3 linked regions of the Ovis aries genome follow. The protein of the gene in region 3 purifies or fractionates together with the protein of the main gene of each other region. This does not show direct contact. Links are inferred from orthologs where the notes say so. Each region holds a gene or a part of one and is shown on either strand. Other genes may lie near its edges.

What was found.
Region 1: the proteins of MECP2 (region 3) and TBL1XR1 purify together in Homo sapiens (co-immunoprecipitation; 3 studies listed by BioGRID and IntAct, with this or other methods). This does not show direct contact. The link is inferred for Ovis aries from reciprocal best matches to the Homo sapiens genes MECP2 and TBL1XR1.
Region 2: the proteins of MECP2 (region 3) and HDAC1 purify together in Homo sapiens (affinity purification with western blotting; 4 studies listed by BioGRID, with this or other methods). This does not show direct contact. The link is inferred for Ovis aries from reciprocal best matches to the Homo sapiens genes MECP2 and HDAC1.

Annotation. Positions count from the first base shown.
Region 1 is NC_056054.1:210,745,044-210,748,543, forward strand, and holds part of TBL1XR1 (F-box-like/WD repeat-containing protein TBL1XR1), read left to right. Parts: intron 1-16; coding exon 17-149; intron 150-502; coding exon 503-644; intron 645-3,306; coding exon 3,307-3,370; intron 3,371-3,463; coding exon 3,464-3,500. UniProt on the Homo sapiens protein: F-box-like protein involved in the recruitment of the ubiquitin/19S proteasome complex to nuclear receptor-regulated transcription units. Plays an essential role in transcription activation mediated by nuclear receptors.
Region 2 is NC_056055.1:235,235,998-235,239,497, reverse strand, and holds part of HDAC1 (histone deacetylase 1), read left to right. Parts: intron 1-925; coding exon 926-1,000; intron 1,001-2,699; coding exon 2,700-2,838; intron 2,839-3,295; coding exon 3,296-3,437; intron 3,438-3,500. UniProt on the Homo sapiens protein: Histone deacetylase that catalyzes the deacetylation of lysine residues on the N-terminal part of the core histones (H2A, H2B, H3 and H4).
Region 3 is NC_056080.1:80,267,497-80,270,996, reverse strand, and holds part of MECP2 (methyl-CpG-binding protein 2), read right to left. Parts: intron 2,798-3,500; coding exon 1,714-2,797; 3' UTR 1-1,713. UniProt on the Homo sapiens protein: Chromosomal protein that binds to methylated DNA. It can bind specifically to a single methyl-CpG pair. It is not influenced by sequences flanking the methyl-CpGs.

The sequences.
Region 1 (3,500 bases), on a different chromosome or scaffold from region 3:
ATTTCTCATGATGCAGATAATCATACTGATATGATGGAAGTGGATGGGGATGTTGAAATCCCTCCTAATAAAGCAGTTGTGTTACGGGGCCACGAATCTGAAGTTTTCATCTGTGCCTGGAACCCCGTTAGCGATCTCTTGGCATCAGGGTATGTTTCTCAAAGTAAAATTAAAATGGATTTCTAAAAGTATCTTACTGAAATATTGCGTGTTCTACAAATATATTGCTTACACTTTCCGGTTTTTGTTGTTGCTTGTTTGTGGTCATTTTGCCCTGTAAATCTTTATTTCTTCATGTAGTAATGTTAGAGTTTTTAAATTACTCCCTCAGGAGTGATTTCGGCATCCCCAAAATGGAGACTGAGAAAAATACTGGAAATGGAAACGCCTGATAGTCTGATTTGTGTTTGCCTCATTAATAATAGGATGTAAATCTGTTGCCTTGATTTCTGTAATGCTTGAGAATGTCATGAAAATTTAAAATATGTTGTATACCTTATAGGTCTGGAGACTCAACAGCAAGAATATGGAACCTTAGTGAAAACAGCACGAGTGGCTCCACACAGTTAGTTCTTAGACATTGTATACGAGAAGGAGGGCAAGATGTCCCAAGCAACAAGGATGTGACATCACTAGATTGGAATGTGAGTATCGCTGTGCTGTCCATGGTGGATGTAGTTAGTAACACGCTTAACTTCCCTGAGCCTCAAACTAGTGGCAGGGCATGTCTGTTTGTTCAGGTATTTTTGAATTTCACTAGTAAGAACAGTAGACTAGGAGTCCCTAACCCAAAATGTGTTAAAAGCAAAGACAGGGCAAGGTTCATCTTCTAGCCTCTCAGTTTATCTAGATATAGAATCCTTGCATAACTGGTGGTCCATCACTCTGTACTTCATTCTCATCACATATAAAGTAGGAGTGTATTAATGGTCTTACATAAATCAAATAGTAAATGAAAACCAATAATAGACACGTACTAAGTTCTCAGTGGGCTTCCCTGATAGCTCAGTTGGTAAAGCCTGAAATGCAGGAGACCCTAGTTCGATTCCTGCGTCAGGAAGATGCCCTGGAGAAGGGAAAGGCTACCTAATTCCAGTATTAATTAAGTTCTTAACTACTAAGTCCTTTGTTAGGGGTACAAGAGAAATCTATGTAATAGAAACATAGTCTTGTTTCTCTCATTTTGCTGTTAATTGATGAAAACTTCATTGCCAGCTCTTTTTAGGAACCGTTAGTCTAAATTACAAGCTTTACTCTAGCTGTAGGACTCTTGAGAATTCTCTTATTCTATATATGATTCAATATCTTTGATTACTTTTACTTACTAGAAAATTTGATTTCACTATTGATAAAGCTTCATCCTTTCAGTTTCAAATATATAATTAACAGCTTTCTTTGCTACCATTCCCACAAGTAATTTGCGGAAAATTAGCATTTTAAAAGTTTCTGTATCTTTTCCTTTATTCCATGTTGTCTTTTTTCTTCCTTGTAACTTTATGTTCATTTTTTTAATACCCTCCCACTCCCCCAACTCTGGTTCTAGTAACTTCTTAGACTGTGTCAGTGTTATAAAGAATTTTAGAGGTCAGCTGTCCTTTCCTTAGCAAGTGGACATCCTTTCCTTCTCTGGCCTCTGTTTTAACAACATTTTGTGGGGCTTTTCAAAGTATCTTCTAAATCTCTTTCCAAGAAATAAGATCTGTCTTTCAAAGTGATTACACTATCTGAAGTTCTTAGTTTCTATGAAATTCTTCCAGAACTCATAGTAAGGCTTATTAGTGTTCTTTTCTGAATTTCCAACAATGTATTTACCCTTTCCCACGTATAAAGTTGAGAATTCTCAACAGTGTTATTTGATTGTAGGGTCAGAACTAAGAATTCCGTTCTTAAAATGGGACCTTACTATATCATAGGCCAAAGGCCTTATACCCTTCTTAGGCTGTTTGGCTCAGAGACCATGTTAATTAAAGTTTACACTGAAAAGGATGGTTAACAAATGATTTGTTGAGTTCGGTGTTTCTGAACTGCAAGTTAAAGCTTTTAAAAGTATAGACTTTTGGAAGATTTATTATTTGCTATGAACTTAAGTCTTCCCCTAGAAAGAGAAAATGTTATTGTTGTTTAATGGCTCATTTCCATGGCTAAAGCAGAAGCCTGTGAGATAGCTGCTCCTAATTATTCTCCTACTTTACTAGTGGTCCATGGTCTAAAACCATTAGTTTAAAGGAAACTTTGCATTGTGCAGTTTGGAAATGAACTTGTGCTATTAGCTTCAACATTGCTCCTTGTTCCTTAGAACTATAGGGGATTTCCAAATCCTAGCAGAACTGAATCTGCATCGCCTACAACCAGCATTTGTTTGTCACTTAACTGTACAGCTAGATGACTGGAGAGGTCTGAAAAGGTGATCTTCCTTTCACATCTCTTGCCAAAAAAAGCATCAGCAAGGCAGGATTTCATTCTGTCTTTCCTGTAATGTTTACTCATCTCAGCAATAGTCTGTGTAATGTACTCTGAAACTTGGATTTCCACAGAATAAGTTGGATCTTAGCAAGTCCTGCCATTGGACCATTATTCAAGGCAAGGCACCATAGGAAATTTTAAGGTTAGAGAAAACGTTAAGGATTACTCCTCAGAGTAGAGTAGTTCTGGACAGTTGTACTCACTTCATTAGCTATAAAGTCAGCCTACACTCTCTTCTAACTCTTGTTTTTGTGTGTGCATTGCTATTTTTATTGGTACAGGAAAAAATTAACAAAAGAAAGATGTTTAATGTAGTGATATTTAAGAATCTGATCATCTGAAACTATTATTTGGAACACACACAGTTTAGACAGTAAAAGATTTAGAGGGAGGACAATATGAGAACTTCTAACCTTAATGAAACATTTTGGAAGATTTTGATTTTTATTGAATACCTTTATTAAATCATAAGATTAAGATTTTGATGTCCTTTCTAATCCCCCACCTGACCCCCACCTTTAGTCCTAGGCCTTTGTGAGAGTACAGTAAGTAGACCTCAGCCCCTGTAAGAGCGGTGATAATCTTGCTCCCAAGCAGTTACTGCCCTTCCAGGACTGGGGTGTGAGGCCTGCGCCCTGACTGAATGCTGCCAAAATACTAGCTTCACAGCATGAAGGGTGTTCTGGAGGCCTTTTCTCGAACTTTCAAATAGGCAAAGCTGAAGGTCTTGAAGCAGAGAATGTCACAGACCTGCTGTACTTGGGATTAAACATAATATATTCTAATAAAATTTAAATACCCTTTTTGGGTTATATAATTGAAAGAAATGTGTTTCTCCAACAGAGTGAAGGTACACTTCTAGCAACTGGTTCTTATGATGGGTTTGCCAGAATATGGACTAAAGATGGTAAATAAAGCATTTTTTTCCCCACTTGTTTTTACTGTTGATCCAAATTATAAAGCTTAAAGTAATTTTAATGTTTTTCCTTTTGAATTTTAGGTAACCTTGCTAGCACTTTGGGGCAGCATAAAGGCCC
Region 2 (3,500 bases), on a different chromosome or scaffold from region 3:
TATTTGCATTACTGTTTGCATGTGTTTCCACATTATGTGTTAGTTTGTACTTTTACCCTTTTAGGCCTGAAATAACTTTCCTCCAATTGTCACTTGTTGTAGTAGAAAGAGCACTGAACTGTGGGAGTCAAGACACCTGGACTCTGGTTCTACCACTCACTGCTTGGTTATATAGCCTTGGGCAAGTCAGTTAACTTCACATCTGCACTGTTCCTCTGCACAGTGGGGTTGATATTGGTCCTGTCCATCTTTTATGGAGTTGTTAGGCAGATTCGAGATTATGTATGTGAAATTACTGGGGAAAAGACCAGAGTACATTTTCGTGGGCTTTTAGGACGGACAGACCAATCCTTGAATACTGCCTCTGCCATTTACTGGCAGTTACCTCTTTGAGCCTGTTTCCCCACTTATAAAACAGGACCAAAAAAAAAAACAGGACCAAATCCTACCTCAGAAAGTTGTGTGAGCATAGATGACACCAAGTATTTAAAGCACTTAGCATGGTGACCAGCATGTTGTTAAGCATCAATGGAGGATAGTATAGCCCTCTGTTCTTTGCTTGCTTGTTGACCCGCTGGAGTAAGATCCAGGAACAAACCCAGGCTGGAATAAGAGGCCAAATTTTTCTCCCTCAGGAGTGAAACAACATTTTCTGAGTACTTACTTGCTGAATGCTTCCCCATGTATGGTTTCTATTAATCTTCTCAAGAATTAGGTGAGGTGGATATCATTGTTGCTTGTTAAAGATAATGAGCCAAAGCTCAAGGAAATTAAATGACTAGACCCAGTCCCACAGTCAGTAAGCAGGAGGGCCTGGGCAAGAACCTTCTGAATCCAAATGCTGTGTTTTTTCCATCAGCTCATAAATAATGTAAACAAAACCAAAAGGAAATTGTGGAAACTAACCTTTTCGTGTTTTTTCAAGTCAACGTCGGTGAGGACTGTCCGGTATTTGATGGCCTGTTTGAGTTCTGTCAGCTGTCTACTGGTGGCTCTGTGGGTAAGGAATATACCCTTCATAAGGGCTATTCTGGGCTGTACCAATGAGGTCTGTCTTTTAGGCCACTGTCCTAGTGAGGCTGACCTGTGACCATGTAAAATGGTCCTGGGTGGGTTTTTATGTTAGGTCCTTAAAATGTTATTCTGCTTCAGTCTGAGGCCAGGTTCAATCTGACATAGTATAGATATGTGTCCTAGCCTGTCCTTTCCTACTAAGACATCCTGTATACAGGAACTCCCTGCAGACCTCATGGGGTTGTTGAGATGCTGAACATAAAAGTAATTTGTGAACTGCAAAGTGCTGTAAAAATAGGAAGTGTCATCATCTGTGTCTTACAAAAGAGCATGGTAATTACATTTAGAGGTCAGAAACACTTCCCGCGTATCTCCCACTTCCATTAATATCTATGTTATCTCTGGGATCACTCTACCATTTCTTAACAAATATTTATTTTTCTGTGATCATTGTTTTTTCTCCTTGCCTCTCCCTACCACCTCACAATATAATCTCAGAAAACAAAGAAGTATACAGAGGAAAAAAACTGACTGCAATCACACTGTCATGGATAACCGTCATCACCATTTTGGTGTTTGTACATCCATGCTTTTTTCTTTGTGCACGTATCCAGACAAAACGTATACTCATCTATATTTTACAAAAATGTGTATGTATAGTTTTGTGCCTCCCTACTACATTTTTTACTTAGTAAATCTTTTTTTTTTTTTTTTTCCGGTCATGCCATGTGGCTTGCAGTATCTTAGTTCCTGAACTAGGGATTAAACCTGGGCCCGTGGCAGTGAAAGTGTGGAGTCTAACCACTGAGCTGCCAGGGAAGTCCCTACTTAGTAAATCTTTGAAATTTAGCTGTAATAAGGTTTAGCATGGTATCTAGTGGCTACATGATTATTCTATGTTATGGACCAACCTCAGTTGATATAATTAGTCCACTCAAGTTGCTCTGTGTTGGTGTTTTTTTGGTTTTTGTTTTTTCTACACCATGCAGCTTGAAGGATCTATCTTAGTTCCCTGGCCAGGGACTGAACTTGAGCCCTTGGCAGTGGAAGCATGGAGTCCTAACCACTGCACTGCCAGGGGATCCCTCATGTTCTTATCGCTCTTAAAGTCATACTGCCGCAAAGGCATTTGCACACATGGTGTGTATTTTTCTCGCACTTCTTCTTGGGCCTATTTGTACTTCAAGCCTCTGTCTGCTACATTTGGTATCTTCAAAATATTTTGACCATGAACCACAGTAAGAAATACATTTACACTTAAAATCCTGGTTATGGACACACTCGCACACACACATCCTCTCTTGCTCTGCAGCTAGTTTCACAAAAGAGTGGTTACCTTTACTGTTAACTCTGCTATTTTTATTCTATAGTCTATCTCATTAAAAAAAAAAAAAAAAATATATATATATATATATATATATACACACTAACCATAGCCCACTAAACCAATTTTAAGGCCTATTAGTGAGTTTTACCACTTTCAGTTTGGAAAACAGGTTTTCTAGAGTAGCCAATGTTGTGTTTATTCCCATTGGAGTAGACAGAGGGAGAGGGCTAGCTGGTGAATTGTACAGTTCACCTGTTAAATAGGCAGGTCCTATCTCTCACTGGGTTCCCATGGTTTTTTGGGGAAAGGAGAGAGAGGGACTTTGTGACAGGCTTGTGTTCTTTCTTCCGGTGCCCAGCAAGTGCCGTGAAACTTAATAAGCAGCAGACGGACATCGCTGTGAATTGGGCTGGGGGCCTACACCATGCAAAGAAGTCCGAGGCATCTGGCTTCTGTTACGTCAATGATATCGTCTTGGCCATCCTGGAACTGCTAAAGTATGCCTGCCTGGCCTTGTCTCGGAGGAGCACCTTAGGCCAGGTCCCCACTCCCTCTCCCCCGGGCTTGCCTCCCTAGTTTGCCTTTCCTAGCGGCGTGCCGGCTAGGATGTGTTTGGTGAGTGTCTCTGGCCATCCTCTCCTTGACGAGGCCTTGATTGGATCTGAGCCCACGGCAAGATCAGGGGCAGGTGCTGCTCAGATCCTGCCTCCAGAATGTCCCTGTGTGGCTGGAGTTGACCCTGGCTGTAGAGTAGGAAGATCGGACTTGGTCGGCTTGGTCAGGCCTCTGGAGACACCCTGCCGCTCTTCCACCTTCCTTCAGCCAGTTTCCACGTCTCTGGTGCTTAGAGATACCTGAGGGAGGCAGCCAGCCCGGTAAGCTGGGCCCTGGCGCCCTTGGCGCGTCCCATTCCCAAAGAGCCCCCAGAACCCCCTGACCCCCTTCTGATCCTAGGTATCACCAGAGGGTGCTGTATATTGACATTGATATTCACCACGGCGATGGCGTGGAAGAGGCCTTCTATACCACAGACCGAGTCATGACTGTGTCCTTTCATAAATATGGAGAGTACTTCCCAGGAACTGGGGACCTACGGGTGAGAACTCCCTTCAGGGGCCAGCCAGCTCACCCTCAGCTGCCAGCTCTAACTCTCCTGTCT
Region 3 (3,500 bases):
GGCCACTCCGTGATGCTGGCAGGCCACAGTGGGTCTCTGTGCTGCCCTTGGCTCTGCAATCCCAATCTGGGTCCACTTCTCCTACCCACTGCCGTTGAGTGGGAAGGCTGAGGAGACCTGGGATCCAGGGTCTGACTGAAGGAGGGGACTCCTGGGAGAGCAAGATCCTGCCTCTCCCATGCCCCTCAGAGAGGCTGGGGTACTAGGGCTGGGTGGATTCAGCGGAGTCTGGGGCTTCCTCAGGGCTCAGAAATGGGTGGCAGGGGAGGCTGGGGTGGACGGCGGGAAGGCCAAGGGTGGGGGTAGTTCTGGGGGCCTGAGCTGACCAGCGTCGGCTCAAAGTACGGTTGGGCACTGAGGCTGCCTGGAACAGAAGGGAGCAGTGAGGACGAGGGAGGAAGGGGAGAAATAAAAAGGCTGAAATGAAAGGAGACAGAAACCAAAGGAGAGGAGAGAAACCAATCAGGAAGTCCTTATAAATTGCAGCAAACACTTAGAGTTTCGGAGCTTCGTGGGAACCCTATGTGCTGAGCCCACTTGAAAACAAGCGCAGGTATATACAGATCCAGGTAGTTGTCAACACTGTCACGTCTAGTGGCCTGAGGGACAAAGGGTCACCAAGTCAAGCCCGCTAGCTTGCTCGCAAAGCAGGTTTGTTTTGAAGTGGGAACATGAAGACTCAATAGTGCAAATAGTTCTAAGCTGTCCCTAAAGGAGTTGAGAATTGGAAAAGTTTTGGAAGAACATTTCCCCTGCCTTCCCCCTGGCCCCTGGCCCTGTCTACTAAGGCTCGAACTAGCGGCCACAACTGCTCTGAGCAGCTAGGGATGCCTTCTACCTGGCCTGTGGCACTCCGCCAGCTGTAGCCTGGGCCAGCCTGCTGGGGCCTCGGCACGTGGCCTTGGTGGCCTCTGTCTAGCGCTACCCGCTGGAGGCCAGCCCTGGGCCAATGTCGCCTCTGGCGCAGGCCAGTCGACACCCAGGGGGGCTCAAAGGATGCCTCCCTCCTAGCTGGGCCAGAACCGGGGCCGACAGGTGCTATGTCCCCATCCTGTGAAATGTCCTGGTCGATTTGGGATTGGGGCTGGTGGGGAGCCGTCTGTGTACCCCCATGGGTGGGATCACACGGGCTGGAGCCACTGGCCGTCTCCACCGTCTCGAAAGGATCCAACTGTCTCTTTTGCCCTGGACCTCCTGGTCCCGACGTGGGTGGGCATAAGGGGGGCTGGAGGGTGGGGTGGTGGAGCTCAAGGCTGGGCAGGGTGTGGGGGGAGAGGAGAGCTGAGACTGGGGTAGCGATGGCCCCCAAACCAGGAGTGTCTTCTCAAGTGCTCTCTGTCCCTAGTGACCACGTAGGGGGACTGGGTGGGAGGGAGGTGCAGGCACACCCTAAGAAGCCTGGGCAACAGCTTGTCTGGTCAGTAGTATCTGCAGCAAGCCTTGTTGAAGGAGCCTAGTTTAGAAAAGTGCAAAGCTACTTCTGGCCCTGGTTAGGTCTTCAACCTGACTGTGCTTGTCGATAAGAAAAAAACACCCCCAATGCTCCAACTACTCCCACCCTGAAGCCACGAAACTCTAAGTTTACTGAAAGAAAAAAAAATATTTTTTATTTCAGTTAATCGGGAAGCTTTGTCAGAGCCCTACCCATAAGGAGAAGAGACAACAGCTGCCTTTATTCTTGTTGGTTTGCTTTGCAATCCGCTCTGCGTAAAGTCAGCTAACTCTCTCGGTCACGGGCGTCCGGCTGTCCACAGGCTCCTCTCTGTTTGGCCTTGGCATGGAGGATGAGACAATGTCTTTGCGCTCTCCCTCCCCTCGGTGTTTGTACTTTTCTGTGGCCGGGGCCGCGGTGGCGAGCGCGGGCTGAGTCTTAGCAGGCTCCTTGGGGCAGCCATCGCTCTCCAGCGAGCCTGCTCTCGGCATCTTCTCCTCTTTGCAGACGCTGCTGCTCAAGTCCTGGGGCTCAGGGGGGCTGGCAGGGTCCTCGGAGCTCTGGGGCTCAGGCGGGGGTGGGGGCGGGGGCAGGAGCAGAGGCGCGGGGGCCTTTGGGGGCTCCACGTGATGGTGGTGGTGGTGGTGCTCCTTTTTGGGTGGCGAGGAGGCGCTGCCGCTGCGCCCCTTGGGGCTGCTCTCCTTGCTTTTCCGCCCTGGGCTCTTGCAGGTCTTCAGTCCCTTCCCGCTCTTCTCGCCAAGCGTGGACACCAGCAGGGGCTTCACCACCTCCTTCACCTCAATGCTCACCGTCTCCCGGGTCTTGCGCTTCTTGATGGGGAGCACGGTCTCCTGCACGGACCGGATAGACGACTCCTTCACGGCTTTCTTTTTGGCCTCGGCGGCAGCTGCAGCAACCACACTGCCTGGCTTTCGGCCTCGTTTCTTGGGAATGGCCTGGGGGTCGGCCTCCGCTTTTCGCTTCCGGCCGGGGCGCTTGATGACCATAACCTGGGCCGAGGTGGTGGCCCCACCCCCTTCTGCCTTGCTGCCCGGCGCAGCTTGGAAAGGCATCTTGACGAGCAGCTTTCCAGGACTTTTCTCCAGAACCCTTTTCACCTGCACACCCTCTGACGCGGCTGCCTTGGGTCTCGTGGTGCCACTCCCTTTAGGGCGTCCCCGACCTCTGCCAGTTCCTGGAGCTTTGGGAGATTTGGGCTTCTTAGGTGGTTTCTGTTCTCGCCGGGAGGGGCTCCCTCTCCCGGTTACCGTGAAGTCAAAATCATTAGGGTCCAGGGAGGTGTCGCCTACCTTTTCGAAGTACGCAATCAACTCCACTTTAGAGCGAAAGGCTTTTCCCTGGGGACTGTGGGAACAAGCGGAGACACACAAAGAAAGGTTAGAAGCTTCCAGAGCAATGCTGGAGGTGGGGCACAGGAGAAGGTGGATGGTGAGCCCTCTGACAGGAGATGTTCTGCAACTGACATGCCCGATGATACAGCTCACCAAGAGGGACATTTAAGAGAAGCTGAGATGAGCTAAAATTAGGGAGCTATGGTCCCATTTATACAGGAAGCAATCGGGTCGCCTGATGGCCATAGGTGCCCACGTGGCCTGCTGCTACATGGATGCCCCCGGGAGTTGCACTCCTCAGCCCCCCAAAGGGGTCTGGCCCGGGGACCCTGTCTACCTGCCAGACTGAACTCTCCAGGAATCAGTTTCCTCATTCGCCAGTAGGATGATGCTTTATCTGAGTTACTGGAATTAAATGAGACTGTACGAGTGAATTCCAAAATGGCTAACCTGTCTGGAGTCATTTAAGGGGGACAAGTGAAATGAACGTAGTCACACTTGTCCTCTAAATATCTGGCTAGGAAGTGACTCTGTTTCAACAGGTAACACCCAACCACCAGCCCACAGCTGGACAAAGGCCAGAGGGACAGTGGGAAAGGTACTCCGAGCCCATCTGGGGCTCTCTCTAGGCTGTATCAGACAGCCCCCCTTTACCAGCACGCCTCACGCAACAGACTGAACCCTGTGAATTTGTATTTCTCAGGGCTCATGAAGTA